Arabidopsis thaliana: one gene and its partner. The protein of the gene in region 1 interacts with the protein of each later gene in a pairwise test. Each region holds a gene or a part of one and is shown on either strand. Other genes may lie near its edges.

Evidence for each region. Proteins that work in one complex are often made in the same cells at the same time.
Region 2: the proteins of SDG40 (region 1) and SNZ interact in a two-hybrid assay, tested with the Arabidopsis thaliana proteins (one large-scale study listed by BioGRID).

The regions. Positions count from the first base shown.
Region 1 is NC_003076.8:5,663,142-5,671,256, forward strand, and holds SDG40 (SET domain group 40), read left to right. Parts: upstream 1-3,681; 5' UTR 3,682-3,712; coding exon 3,713-3,855; exon of another isoform or gene 3,856-3,934; coding exon 3,935-4,085; intron 4,086-4,173; coding exon 4,174-4,305; intron 4,306-4,448; coding exon 4,449-4,589; intron 4,590-4,696; coding exon 4,697-4,945; intron 4,946-5,048; coding exon 5,049-5,708; 3' UTR 5,709-5,766; downstream 5,767-8,115. Other genes in the region: AT5G17250 (Alkaline-phosphatase-like family protein), read right to left, coding at 5,852-5,947, 6,028-6,111, 6,201-6,357, 6,437-6,617, 6,724-7,264, 7,359-7,450, 7,528-7,960, 8,044-8,115.
Region 2 is NC_003071.7:16,386,411-16,392,935, forward strand, and holds SNZ (Integrase-type DNA-binding superfamily protein), read right to left. Parts: upstream 4,767-6,525; 5' UTR 4,522-4,766; coding exon 4,145-4,521; intron 4,063-4,144; coding exon 4,037-4,062; intron 3,895-4,036; coding exon 3,864-3,894; intron 3,728-3,863; coding exon 3,640-3,727; intron 3,545-3,639; coding exon 3,417-3,544; coding exon of another isoform or gene 3,356-3,416; exon of another isoform or gene 3,285-3,355; coding exon 3,205-3,284; intron 2,848-3,204; coding exon 2,600-2,847; 3' UTR 2,281-2,599; downstream 1-2,280. Other genes in the region: AT2G39240 (RNA polymerase I specific transcription initiation factor RRN3 protein), read right to left, coding at 6-176, 261-380, 469-681, 794-865, 954-1,025, 1,108-1,230, 1,331-1,417; AT2G39260 (regulator of nonsense transcripts UPF2), read right to left, coding at 5,878-6,375.

The DNA.
Region 1 (8,115 bases):
TCAATTAGAAAGTTTGGTTAATTACATGTTTGATTTATTCATCAATTGGGCAACAGGTTGTAATTGTAAATTAATAGCTCTAAATTGATATTTGTATTACAATATTTCTTATATAAATGTAATTTAAGCCTTTATTTGATATATATTATTTAAAGCAACATTAGAAAATGATGTGATTTTAGCCTATTATAGTATTCAAAAATACAGAAAGTGTATTTATTTCTAATTTACATTCTTTTTTCTAAACTTTGTAAGTTTTCAATTCAAAAACAGAAACTACATCATCAAATTTAACAGATATATTACAAATAGTGATAAAAATGTGACGAAACATATATGTCGTTTACTAAATCGTATTCAATATAAACATTTATCGGTACTCGGTGAATTAATTTTAAAGAAAAAATGATAAAGTAATAATAATTTCACAAAAATGTGCAATTGTACATGAAGATTGAAGAACTCTATTAGAAACATTAATTTCATGTGAATTTATATTTTAGATATTTAGATTGTAATAAAAAAAAAAATTGTCCCTATTGGTGATGCTATGTTAACAAACTCAGCCTAAACCAAATAAGGATGTAAATACATATATGTTGTGGAAAGAAAAAAAAAAGAGGCATAATCATGGTAAAATACATGTTGTGTTACGAAACGTAACTATATATATACAGTAGCTTTGGATCATTGCTAAAATTCTACGAGGGTTGCGTAGAAAACTTGATCCATCTCACTATTTTATGGATTACCTTTCAAAATGTATAACGTTTTTTGTAATAACGTGGATTTTGCTACGAACATGATGAATCAAGAGTGACGCATTTTGTTGTGGAAGAAAAAGTGAGACATGTCACTATGGAGATGGGATCAATAGTTATTTAATTACATAATTAAAATATAATTAGAATATTATATAAGTCATTAAGTAATTGTTGGTAGAAAGGACAATAGGGGTTTAGGGGTGGGGTCATGCCAGTTTGGGTAAAAAAGGATTAGCAGAAGAGAGATCAGAGAGATGCCACGTGGAGCCTACGGCCAATGGGAGAGCGATAAGCTTATCAAAGATTTCAAAGTGCGGAGGGTAAAGTGGGCGACGTTGCTTTTCCACGTGTCAATGTTTCATTGGTAGGAAAAGTTAAAAGTTAGATTTCCGCTTAGTCGGTATTTGGGTCCCATACTGTCTTCGCAACTTGGCCCTCTCTCTTGCGCTCAGAAGGTTTTGTCTTTTAAGTTTCTTCTTGATTTTGGTTTTATCCTTTGTTATTTTTAGTCTGGTCCGTATTTTCTCCGTATCTTGTTTCAAATACATTCTCTCGTAAAGAAACCGCTTTTTTTGGTTTAGTACTGAATGATAAAAGTATTGTTTTCGTACGAAATTTATGTCAACCGCCCTAGTTCTAGAGGATCACCTAGACCATATGCATGGGACTTGGTCGAGCTTCGATGTGGATTAGCCCGAGTTATCAATAGAATACTGAAAATTGGCATAATTAACTTTGATTTAATGGAAATGCGTTTTTATAATATACTGAAAATTTAACAGACATGATGATTGATGAGTAGTAAATTTCAAATGGTATAACAAGTTTAATTGTTTTTTTAGTAAGTTATATATACTGACCAAGACGTTTTTGTTTGAGTCAGTGACTATCACTCTTTGTTTTTACTCAACTTAATTCCATAGATCCTGGTACTTATAACGTGTACAATCTAGAATCACAAGCGTTTAGAGATAGTGATAATTAGCTTGGCTACTTTCTCAGCTGTGTTGTTGCTTGATCGAAGGTGGAAAATGAGAGTGGTCATATTGAAGTTCTTGCTTAGTGCTATTGTTAATAGAACGGTTGGAGAGCCGGCCAAGCTTATGGATAATATATTTATATATGGAGAATGAGAATAACATAAAGATGAGACATGGTTGAACCTAATTAATCAAAAAAACAATTTACATGAATTTTTTTTCTTTAAAAGATTTCAATCTGTAACATGCATAGAAACTTGTCTCATAACCCTCGTAGTCGTATAGCAAGCATTAGTTTTATGATAGAGATGTTTCGGTTACGAAAGAAAATTTAAACCAACTTAAGTGGTTGTAAATCACGTTGTAATTTTTATGTTTATGTACAATTTCAAATTACAAATCTTCATTTTTAATTATAATCTTTGCCACTGAAATTCACGATAATATCACTAAGGTTCGATGCAATTCGTCAAACATTTCACGTACTAAAATTTGTTCGGCGAGTGATGGAGACATAGATGTAAATGGAAACGTGTACTCGTAAATTGTGTCATCTTTCGTGGCCCATAAAATTGAGATGGAGTTTTATCGTTTTCTATATCAAATAATGTAAATAACTGAATAAAAAAGGTTTTATTATAAAAAGTACCAAAGAAATGGACCGTAGTCACCATTTACATGGTTACATGGTTACATGGCGCGACACGTAGTGTCACTTAATGCTGCAAGTGTTTTTTCCTCTTTGTTTTTTGCCTCCCTGAATATTTTAAATTTGGTATATAAAATATTTCTGCTGACGAGTTTTAGTTACTCTAGTTTCTAAAATGGTCTAGAAAAAGTTGTGATATATAAATATAATAACTCGGTAATGGCTACGTACAGAGTCAGCCACGTAACACTAAATGGATGTGTCATGGACCCGTATTACACTCCCCATTATACACGGATAGCGCATACATGTAGTAGAGAATGATAATGTAGTTTTAACCTCTCAACAGGGAGATAAATAATTATGTATTTCGTTTTCTAAAGTCATAGTTAATATAAGTGATAATAAATAAGTTTTGACTTGTTTCCAAACCACTTAACAAAATGATAGTTATTTTTCTGTCCCCGAATCATTATGAATAATTTTCTAGTGGGAATTAGCTATTTCAGATTTGATAAACAAAATTTCTTTCTTTAATCAATATTATGTTTAATTGTAAAATGTACACACAATCCACAACTAGAAAGACGAATCCAAAAACTAAAGAAAATAGGAAATACTCGACCTTTATTTTCTAACGTCAATCCACCACATGATATTTGTGGTTTTTAGCGTAATAATTCAGTTCTAACACACCACATGATTTGCTAAGCTACCAGTACTACTTTCTTTGTTAGGCCGTGAGAAATTGAATATTCCTTCCTCTTATTCTGCATATTCTTTGTATTTGTTTTGTTACCTACCTCTTCTAGTGTGTAGCCTACGTAAATATACACTCAAGTTGTTTTGATGTAACCGGTTTTCTCCACCGAAAATCGTATTGTGAACATAAGTGTTTTTTAGTTTTTTTGTCTAGTTGATTACACTACATATCAATTCATACTTATTATAATTACACTGATTATATATAAATGCATGAATGAAAACTCGAATTCGATATATTACGATTCGTCAAAAAATGTATATCTAGTGAATTCTGGTATCAATTAGAGGTCTGAATTTGTTCAATATCGTCCACAATTCCCTACCTAAAAAATTAGAGCTTTTTGGACCAAATCCAAAAATGGATCTAAAAAGTGAAAACCAAAATATTCCTTTAAGAATCTACACAGATTCGAACCAAACCGGATTAAACCGAATAGTCTACGGCACGTGTGGAAACGCGCTGCGTTTCAAAAACATTTGGGGTATTTTTGTAATTTTTGTAATTTTTAGGATCAGGGTTTTAGGAGAAACCCAGGAAGAAGAAGAAGATCGACATGGACTTAGAACACCAAACCATGGAGACGTTCCTGCGATGGGCAGCAGAGATTGGCATTTCAGATTCTATTGATTCTTCTCGATTTCGCGATTCGTGTCTTGGACATTCTCTTTCCGTCTCCGACTTCCCTGACGCCGGCGGGTGCGTGGAATTGAATTCGAACTCTTTCATTTCTAAATCCCTAAAATCTGTCTTCTCATTGCTCGATTGATGCAATCAGGAGAGGTTTGGGAGCTGCTCGTGAGCTCAAGAAAGGAGAATTGGTTTTGAAAGTCCCCAGAAAAGCCTTGATGACTACAGAATCCATAATTGCTAAAGATCTAAAATTGAGCGATGCTGTTAATCTTCACAATTCACTTTCTTCGACTCAGGTGCTCTCTATTTCTCTGACCATTTGAATCTGTTCTGTTTTTGTTTCTGAGAAAAATCTTAAAACCTCAGAATTGTTGAAATTTGCAGATACTGAGTGTATGCTTATTGTATGAAATGAGCAAGGAGAAGAAGTCTTTTTGGTATCCATACTTGTTCCATATACCTCGTGACTATGATCTCTTGGCTACATTTGGGAATTTCGAGAAGCAAGCTTTACAAGTTCTGTGTTTACTACTACTACACTTTTGTGTTTTATTTTGATTTTTGAATAGGTTAGATCTCATGTTATTGGATTGAGATCATGTTCCTTTCTTTTCTGTTGATTTCAAGTCTAAAAGATGGGATTTTTTTCATGTCCTTAGGTTGAAGATGCTGTTTGGGCTACAGAAAAAGCCACAGCCAAGTGTCAGTCTGAGTGGAAAGAAGCTGGTTCGTTAATGAAGGAGTTAGAGCTGAAGCCTAAGTTTCGGAGTTTCCAAGCATGGCTATGGGCTTCTGCAACGGTAAGAACACTTCACTTTATCACACGAAAGTTGCTCGAGAAATCGATGATGGTTGATTAGAAAGGTTTGTGTAAACTTACAGCTACAAACTTTACTTCTGTTTGAAGATATCTTCACGAACACTGCATGTACCATGGGATAGTGCTGGGTGTTTGTGTCCTGTAGGGGACTTGTTCAACTACGATGCTCCTGGAGATTATTCGAATACCCCACAAGGTCCTGAGAGTGCTAATAATGTAGAGGAAGCAGGACTTGTTGTTGAGACACACTCTGAAAGGCTCACAGATGGTGGATTCGAGGAAGATGTCAATGCTTACTGTCTTTATGCAAGAAGGAATTATCAGCTAGGAGAACAGGTACAAGTCCTCAACTAGCTTTTGTTACAGCTGCGAAACTAATGAAGCGGAAGCACAACGTAGAAAATATACTGAATGGTGAGGATTGTATTTGTGGGTGTAGGTTCTTCTATGTTATGGGACTTACACGAATCTAGAGCTTCTTGAGCACTATGGGTTTATGTTAGAAGAGAACTCAAATGACAAGGTCTTCATTCCTCTAGAAACCAGCCTATTTTCTCTAGCTTCTTCATGGCCTAAAGATTCTTTATACATTCATCAAGACGGTAAGCTGTCTTTTGCGCTGATATCCACGTTGAGACTGTGGCTGATCCCACAGAGCCAGCGTGACAAGTCAGTTATGCGCCTTGTTTACGCTGGATCTCAGATATCTGTGAAGAATGAGATTCTTGTCATGAAGTGGATGTCAGAGAAATGTGGAAGTGTTTTAAGGGATCTGCCAACTTCTGTCACAGAGGACACTGTGCTTCTTCATAACATTGACAAACTCCAAGATCCAGAATTGCGTTTGGAGCAGAAAGAAACAGAAGCTTTTGGCAGCGAAGTACGTGCTTTTCTTGATGCAAATTGTTTGTGGGATGTCACTGTATTATCTGGGAAACCTATAGAATTTTCCAGGAAAACTAGCAGGATGCTGAGCAAATGGAGATGGTCTGTGCAGTGGAGGCTAAGCTACAAGAGAACTCTAGCAGATTGCATCTCTTATTGTAATGAGAAAATGAATAATCTCTTAGGTACCCAAGATAGGCTTAGAGATTTGTAACTTGAATCGAAACCGATCCTTCTTAATCTATCAATGCTCAAAAAAGGATTTCTGATCATTCTTTTTTACATTCATAGAGAAGTAAAAAAAACAATTACCTGCTAAAATCTACTGTTACATCTTTCATCAATTGCAAGTATGAATCAAAGATAGTAAGCTGAAGCCAAACAGATGAGGAGATCAGTAAGGATGAGATCAACAACGTCAAAGACGAACTTTGGAGCAAACAAACCCCAAACCTGCAAGAACATGAGAGCAATGTTTTAGTCACAGATACAAAACAAGAACCTTTGGCTTGAGTGAATCTTGCTGTGTTTACCATCAGATGTCTTCTCTGGATGGTGACGCAGAGAATTGTAGCTGTGACTGTGGTTGCAGATATAACTCCAAAGAGCATATACATCTGATGCGGTTAAAAAAGTTATGATTTAACACATTGTCACTGAATCTACTAGAATAAACCAAAAACGAATCAATATGAAGATGTCTTACTTGAAACAACTGGTGGCGCTTTTCGCCATGAGCCTGAGGAGTTTGAGAGTGAAAAGGTATGAGGAGAGGAAGTCCAAATACAGAAAGGATGATCGAGAATCCAAATGTCTCGATTGTCAAAAGAATGGCTTGTCGTATAAGCACAAACTCATCAAACCTGAAGAAAGTATGTCAACAAAACCACCATATTGAATTAAGACTCCATTGTAGGCTGAGTTTATGAAACTTGGACCTACCCCACAAATGCAGCTCCATAACGAAGGCCATCAAAGGCGCACCAATGCCCGCTGGCGAAGAACATGCATATAGAAAGAAGACTCCATTGCACCACACAGAGAGGATTTAGTTTTGAGAATTTGCTCTGTCCATCTGATTTGGTTCTTCTCTCTACACCCTCCAGCCTCATTATACAATAGCCTACATACATTTAACTGCATCAGTTAAACCTTAATGACCTGAGTTGCCATCTTTATTATAAAGCTTGTTTGCTTTGAGAATCATCAAGTGAGAAGAAAAAAGTTACCAGCCACTAAATATACTAATGCAAGCATTGATCCTTGCTTCCCCGACAATAGAATTATTGGCGAACTACAAGCAGATACAAGAGCGACAGTTCTGATGGCCCAATTCTTGTCTTTTTCTGTGCAAAACATACGTGCAGAAGCTAAAAGGCAGAGCTGCACCAATCCAATTACATAAACCGTTTGAGGAATGCGGTTTCTTCCTCCCGTCACTTGAAGCAACTGATCCAAACCAAATATCTTGCTCTCCGAAGCCCAAAGCAATGCTATGAAAAAGTAGCTTACCATACTACCAACAGTAACATACTTCCACACCCCCTCATTGGGTGCTTTCGCAATGGCTACGTAGAGCACGCAAATGAGTATAACCACTGACAGAATTGGTGCAATTTCAATCGCATATGTCAATGCTGGATGGTCTGGAGCTATCCCTAGCATCCACGATGGTGAGCTACTCATAAACTGAGAAGTTGCAGCTTGCTTTGTTAGCCCAATATCTATAGAAACTCTGAGAACAAAAACCATAGCAAGAAACATAAAAGCCTGCAGACAAGATAATTGAAAATATTACAATCCAACAAGCAGATTTTAAGGTAATAACCAGAAGCAACAAAGACATGTCATAGATAATACTGACTTCTTTCCGCATTGTTTTTCTCATAACAGAGTACCGCAGCTTGATAAGTCCAGTTGTTGCCAGGAGAAAGTTTGCAACTTTTCCTTCTTCCACTATTGACAAAAAAATTCTCTATTAGCATAAAGAAAAAGAGAGCAAAACGCTTAATCTAAGATTACTTGAAACTTACAGATATAGCTATTTGAAAGAAAGCTGCAAGCTCGAATCGTTACTATAAAGAGAGTGAAAGCTGCACCAGTGGATAACCAAGAACCCACTGCATAAGATTTGTCGCCATGGAAAACAGCAAGAAACTGAAGGATGAGTGATATAACCAATATCCCAAACCCAGTAATCATTAGATTCAGATTGAACTCTGTCCACTTAGACCGGGCAAGTTCAACAACGCTTGAGAAGAAATTCAAATATTCAGCAATTTGCTCTTTAAGAAGGGCAGATATATCTGTACTGCCGTCATCTCCATTTCTATCCATCAATATGTGTTTGACAGAATTGGACCAATTCTGTTCTGCTGCAGAATAGAGATCTGATATCCTTGACATATCATCGGAAGAGAAACCAACAACCGATGAATTAGAATACACATCTATATATCTTTTCACCTGCATATAAATAGAATTGGAAACTGAGAGTCCGAAAACAGAACATCGTGACAAGATATTCTTTCAAGTTTTTGAACTGTTACCTGCCAAGCATTCACACAAAGTACATCAACGTAATGTTTCATCCACTCGTTAGCAGCCGATTGGGTGCCAAA
Region 2 (6,525 bases), on another chromosome or scaffold:
CATACCTCATCCAGACGACCAGCATCTTGACAAGATTTAAGATGATTAAAAGATTCGACCATTAAATCGTCCAACAATTTAGAAACTAGAGTGCCTTCAACTGCAACGTCAAGTTCCATATCAAACATTGCTAGACTGGAGTCATTTTGGAGATTATCATCGCACTCAATCTCCGACTACAAAGATGATCAAGCATATCATCAACTAACTATAGTACTATACTTGTATGGAAAATACAATTATTCGTTCCGTCCACTTACATCGAGATCTCGGAACCTCCCCATCACCATCATAAGAATATCCTTGCCAACAACTTTTCCGATGATTGAGCTGTTCTCCAACTTCAACAAGTTCTTCACATATGGCACTACAACCTGCAACTGCAAGACAATAAAATAGTTTTGTCATTTCGTTAACCACATGTATGGGACAGCTGTTACATTGATTTTAACAGAATAAAAAACATACGCGAGCTTTGTCGTGTACGCTAGGCATACTCTGGGCGAGTATGGGCAGTAATATAGAGGGAGCAAGGGGAACTAAATAAGAAATCTTGTGAAGAGCTGCGTGCACCCTGGAAAGAACTTCCAGCATCTTATTGTCGAGTTTGCGGGGTTGCGAACGTAAATTAGAGACGAGCGTATCTAAACAAGAGCTCAGATGCTTTCCACTAGTAGTGGCCTAGAGATGGAAAACAACAAAAGCACAAAAGCTGTTAAGCTCCGTAAGCAGATAATATATATGGTTGATGATGATATGAGAGAGGTACATAGTTGCTGAGCTGTTATAATACCAGTGATATGATTAAGTCCAGCAATGCATATATTACATTAGGTTTGTGATCCCAAATTCTCGTTCCAAGAATCTAAAGACAATAGAATGTGATGAAATTAGTCAGAGGAAGGTAATTAAGGTATGTGTGTGTAATAGATAGATAGATAAATAAAAGTTACAAGTTGAAGAAGGTGGTTATGGTGAACGTCATCTAAGCAAGCAACAGAGTGTGATAGAATTTTCAAGAGTGTCTGCAAAGCGAATGAGAAATGAAGATTGTCTTAGTTAGCAACAACCGAAAAAAAGAAAGAATGGATTTGTCATAAGACACACCTCTCGCTGAGCCACAACATCGACATCATCAGGCACCTCTGGCTGTGCCATAGCATCGTCACCAGATTTCTTCTTTTTGATGTACATTAACTGAACAAGCTCATTATATTGATCGGTATCCCCCTGGATTTAGCAAAAGACAAATACTTTTAATTTTAAAGAACACACACACAGAGAAACATATGTGAACATGTGGAAGAAGCAACATTTATGCAAGACTCACACTTTGGGCAGATGCAAGGACCTCTCTAATGGCAGACACCAAAGCTTTGTCGCTTAAGTCAGCAGTCTCCACTTCTTCTGCTCCCATTCTCTTATGCTAGTGCTTCGAAATTTCAACTACTGAAGAACAAAAACAATACACTAAAATCCAAGGTTAGAGCAGCAAAACCATAAACCCTTAAAAAGAGATATTCATTCTATATTCAATTTTTTTCTTCTCGCCCTAACAATTTTCTTCTAAAAGAGGAAACCAGAGCCCACCATGAACAAACAAACAAAGGTTAGAGAGAACTCGCACCGATGAATAATTTTTACACGCTCTGATTCCACTTAGCTGGGGAGATACACATATAAACGTCGTCTTCTTCTTTTCTTTTTTGTCGGCAGAGGAAGTTCGAATGGATCCCGCGAGGCCCTCAAAAATTAACATTATATATAACATAAATTAATTATACCATTAATCTAATTCCAAACTAACCTAAATGCAAACTATACATAAAAATTTATAACTAAACAGACTAATGGCACGTGTCCCTGATGGATCTCCATGAACGACTCGAGAGAAGTTTGGGCCTACGGCTAAGGCCCAAGAAAACAAAGGTCGAGGCCACTTTAGGTCTTATTACCCTTGCTCGCTTGGATTGAGTGTGGCACATCGAAGCAAAAGCATTGGCAAATGGCAACACCACAAGATTTCACACCTTTTTTTTTCGTCTCTTCCACTGTTTTGGGTTATTTAGGTATAAAATTGCAATGTAAGGATAGTAAATTTTCTCTATCTTCTGTTTTGTTAGTTTATTTATTGAAATCCCAAAAAAAAAGGGTCGAAAAGTTGGAAAAGTGGGGATAAGAAATAAGTGAATGTGGTGAAGCAAGCGGATATTATACGACCCAATACGACATTGTACTTTAATTACAAACGACGACGTGTCCCATTCATCTCCTTTTCTTTGATCATTCAATACTCTCTTTTCTTTTCTTAACCATTGTACAAATTTTCGGCAAAGTTGTTTGTTTGCAATTATGCACGTGTCTTATGTTACTAACCTCACGAGTACTCACTAGTACTTACACTATAACTTTCACACACTTGGGAATTATCATCGTTGACAACATAGTACATGATGGTTCTTTGTCTTTTTTTATTGGCACAAAATTCCTGATTCCACAAGAATATGGTTTATAAAAAGATATAAGTCACATAATCATTCCGTCATTCAATAGATTATCAATAAAAAGGGGAAAATTTTAAAAGTAAATAGTGATCACCTCATGGATCAAAACAAGATAAGGACAAAGAAGAAGGATTGATCATGGTAATGAAAGGGAATCCTGATGATGCTACAACTGTCTTTAACGGTTTAATTTCTGTGATCGGTAGATATCCCGGCAACGGCTTCCCATGCAAACTCGTCACCGATCGATTCAAACCCATGTAATAATCTGCTGGTTCCAAAATTCTAACTTTTGACGATGAAGATATCCCAAGACTTAGCTCGAGATCGTTGTGCTCATTTCCTGAAAACGTTAAAAGCTTTTCGTAAATCATGTCGTAATGTCTTAAATTAAAATATTGATCAAGTTGAATAAGATATAGTTTAGTGGTTTGTGTTACTGTTGTCGTTGTGCATTAAAGTTTAAATCTTTCAAAAAAAAAAAAAAAATTGATTAAAATCTATAAACTAATATGCATTGAATTTTGAACGAGAATGATTCTGAAAGGTAAGGCTAGCTAGCTAGGGTTTGGTTGATCAAATCAAAGGTGTGCAACATGTGTCAAAGTGAAGTTGTGGTTAGGGTTTTTAGCTTTCACCTAAATGATAACAATGATTTAGTATGTATATTTACAGCCGTGACCCTACATTTATAAAGTACCTTTACTATGGGCACCCAACTTAATATCCCCTTCCATCTTTCTTATCTCATTGCATTTTGCTGCTGCTGCATTCAATCCCCTATGAGTATTCATACAAACACTTTTACAAATCGTATGCATTATATGTGTGAATCATATACGCGATAGGAATCAACTGGTCACGGTTAATAGTGAATGAAATTGTACCCGCGAGAAGAGTAACGAATCGAACCTGTTTTGGAAGAGATGGATGTGATCATTTCTCATATGGGTGTTTTTGTATTTAGAACCTCCTCTTGCTAAGCTTGCACTCGCTCGTCTAAGAGATTGCACAAACTCTTCTTTGCTTAAATTCTTCATCTACCACATCATTCAAAATATCCATATTATAGTATTCGAACGTCCAACTTCTCTGTCTCTTTATAGGAAGCAATAAGTTATATGAAAAAAAAAACCTTTTCAATGTCTTGTTTGTAATCATCCACGATAAAGTTGATATCTGCTTGGAGTCCCCGGAATCTGATAGCAGCTCGGTCGTACGCTCTGATATGTATTTGAATATATAAGTCAACTAATATTTCTCTAAAGATATAAACTAAAATGTCCAAAAAAGAAAAAATGAAGAATTTTTGAAAGGACGAATGTTATGTCATGTAACATCTGTTACTATTTCTTACACCTTGCGGCTGTGTAGGCTGTGTCGAAACCACCTGTTTTTAACCAAACAAAAGACAAAACTGAAAAAGTGAAAATCTTTCATCATTTGGTTTACTCTTTTCAGAATTCTCTTATCCAAGAAGGTTTTAAACCTTAATATAATAGTAAGAGAAATAGAAAATCTCATCTAATTACCCAAATAAACTTGTTTTCCACAGTCCCTACACATAAATCCCAAAACCAAGTGTTAATCTCAAAACTAATTAAAATATATTTTATAACTTAAAGTTTATGAATGAATACCAAATATGAGATTCCCAACGGCCGGTTCGACGGTAAAAGGTAACGCCACGATAATGAGAGCTTCTTGATCTTGGGCCACGTCGACTTTTTTTCTTCATCACCAACGTTTCTTGTTTATTTCTTTGCATCGACGAAAGATCCAACCACTCATTTCCGGGGCCGGAGAGTTCATTTTCCGAAGGAGGAGGAGGAGGAGGAGGAGGAGGGGGAGGAGGAAGGATTTCGACGTTTCGTTTAAGGATTCCAAATGTAATCAAAGACAAGTTGTCGTTTGAGGGATTAATGGAATCTTCTTCTTGAATGAAGATGGAAGTTGGTACTTTGCAATCTTCATCTTCGTTGTGTGTCGACAAGATTCCGAGGTTGAGGTCCAACATGAGTATTTGTAGGAATGAGTAATATGTCGTCGCTTTTGTGATTGTTCCGGTGACTCTAGAGAGACTCTAAGAGTCTATCTAAAACAGGGAAGAAAAAGAACGTGGGACGTGTTGTTCAGTGCGATTGTCTACACACTGATTTATTAGTTTTTGGCTACTTTTCAGACATCTCTATTTATTAATTTATTGATTGCGTTATTTTTTTTCTTTTTCCTATATTTAAACATGTGTATAAACCAATTTCCGAACATCTCGAAAAAATATAAGAACGACTTACCCAAAATATATCTTAGCCAATATCTATTACTAGCTCGGTCTTATACGTTTTCAAGATATTCGGAGATTCGTGTATATATAGTCTGAATAGTAAGTACGCGTTCGTATGAATATATGACTACTGAAAATTTGATATACGGGAATATGAATAGTATATATGTGTGTGTATATTCTTTACTAATAGTCTAATAATACTATCACAATGTAATTTGTATAAACTATTACTCTTTTCGAATATTACTTACAGATTGAGAAAATTATGAATTTATATCACGAGTGGGGACACCCGAACATGAATGCATTATGAGGAAAATTATTTTGGTAGACCAAATCGGGTATCAATTTTTCTGCACCACAATAAAAACCATACAAAATCTCTTTTTGAATAGATATGTCAATGAATACAATAATGGAGTGAAATGGAACGTGTTGGGGACCTAAGCGTCGGTCCAATAAAGCCAACTACCACTTTTGTATGTGGAGGGGAGAGAGAGGTAGAATTAGAAACCTTAATGAAGAGAGAGTGTGACTTATTATGTCATTCGTTTGTATAAACAATTCAGCAATCACCAAGTACATGTTTATATGGACACCTAGATATCAATAATTTAGAAACGTTGGATGATAAGTTCGTGTGCATATCTCAACCGTCCATTTTCTCATGATTTGATGAAAGTACAAAAACTAGATTTGTTAAGGAATCTTTATTAATCCGTCCTCTGCACACTAAATCTGGCCTTTCCGTATATGGTAAGACCAAATCTTAAAAAGTTTTCTTCTCGTCATCATTCTCTTTCCTTACTTAGTAATTTCTTCTTCTTCTTCTTCTTTTTTTTTTTCACATGAGAATGATGCTAAATAATCATTAAATGCAAGATTTAACCAAGCTGGACAAAAAGGGTCACACACAGAGATTTACTTAACCAACACTACAGAATGTGAAGTCGAATACATCAACTTTTGTCACAGAAACTCATGAGATTTCTTGTGAATTGTCCTTTTCAGCCGTAGCAAAAAGCCAACTATTACCGCTTTTGACACAGGCAAGATTATCAAATTTTCCCCCTAAACCGGATGAAGTTACTTTCGTCGGGCATGATACGAACCACCACCTCCTTGATGATAATAAAACCGGTGACGAGACCCACCACTCTTCCCACTGCCTTCCCCGGTTCGAGTGGATCCTCTGCTTCCTCCAGAAGTCCAATTCAATATCTGTGTTCCTAACCCATTTGCTTCCTCTTCATCCCTCTCATTGTACTCGAGTACTAACCTCTTTATGTCTTGTTTCTCTTCCAATTCTGCAGCTTCTTTCTGTTTTGTGCTCTGCACTAGAGCACAATCACTCGGGATTAGCATTTGCCTTGTTTGTTGTTTGTTTCCTCTCTTCACTAGGACCTTCACTTGAACCTCTCTTTGCTCTCCATTCTCTTCATCCAACACTTCTTCACCGTTTTCACCTACTACCCGCCCAAAATGATGATGATCTTTTCCAGATCCTTCAAAAACACTCATCGGTATTGTCATGTTCAATGCCGGTCTACCTCGTAATTCTAGCTTCCTTTGCTCCATGCTCTCCTGCATCCACAAAACATATCAGTACTTAATCATGTTCAAATTCCGAAAAATAACTTCCCTCTTGCATCAGTGTAAACTGGTTTTTCCACCAAACTAAATTAGAGAAAATAGATGCATCAATCTACATAAACAAAAAAAGACGGATTCTGA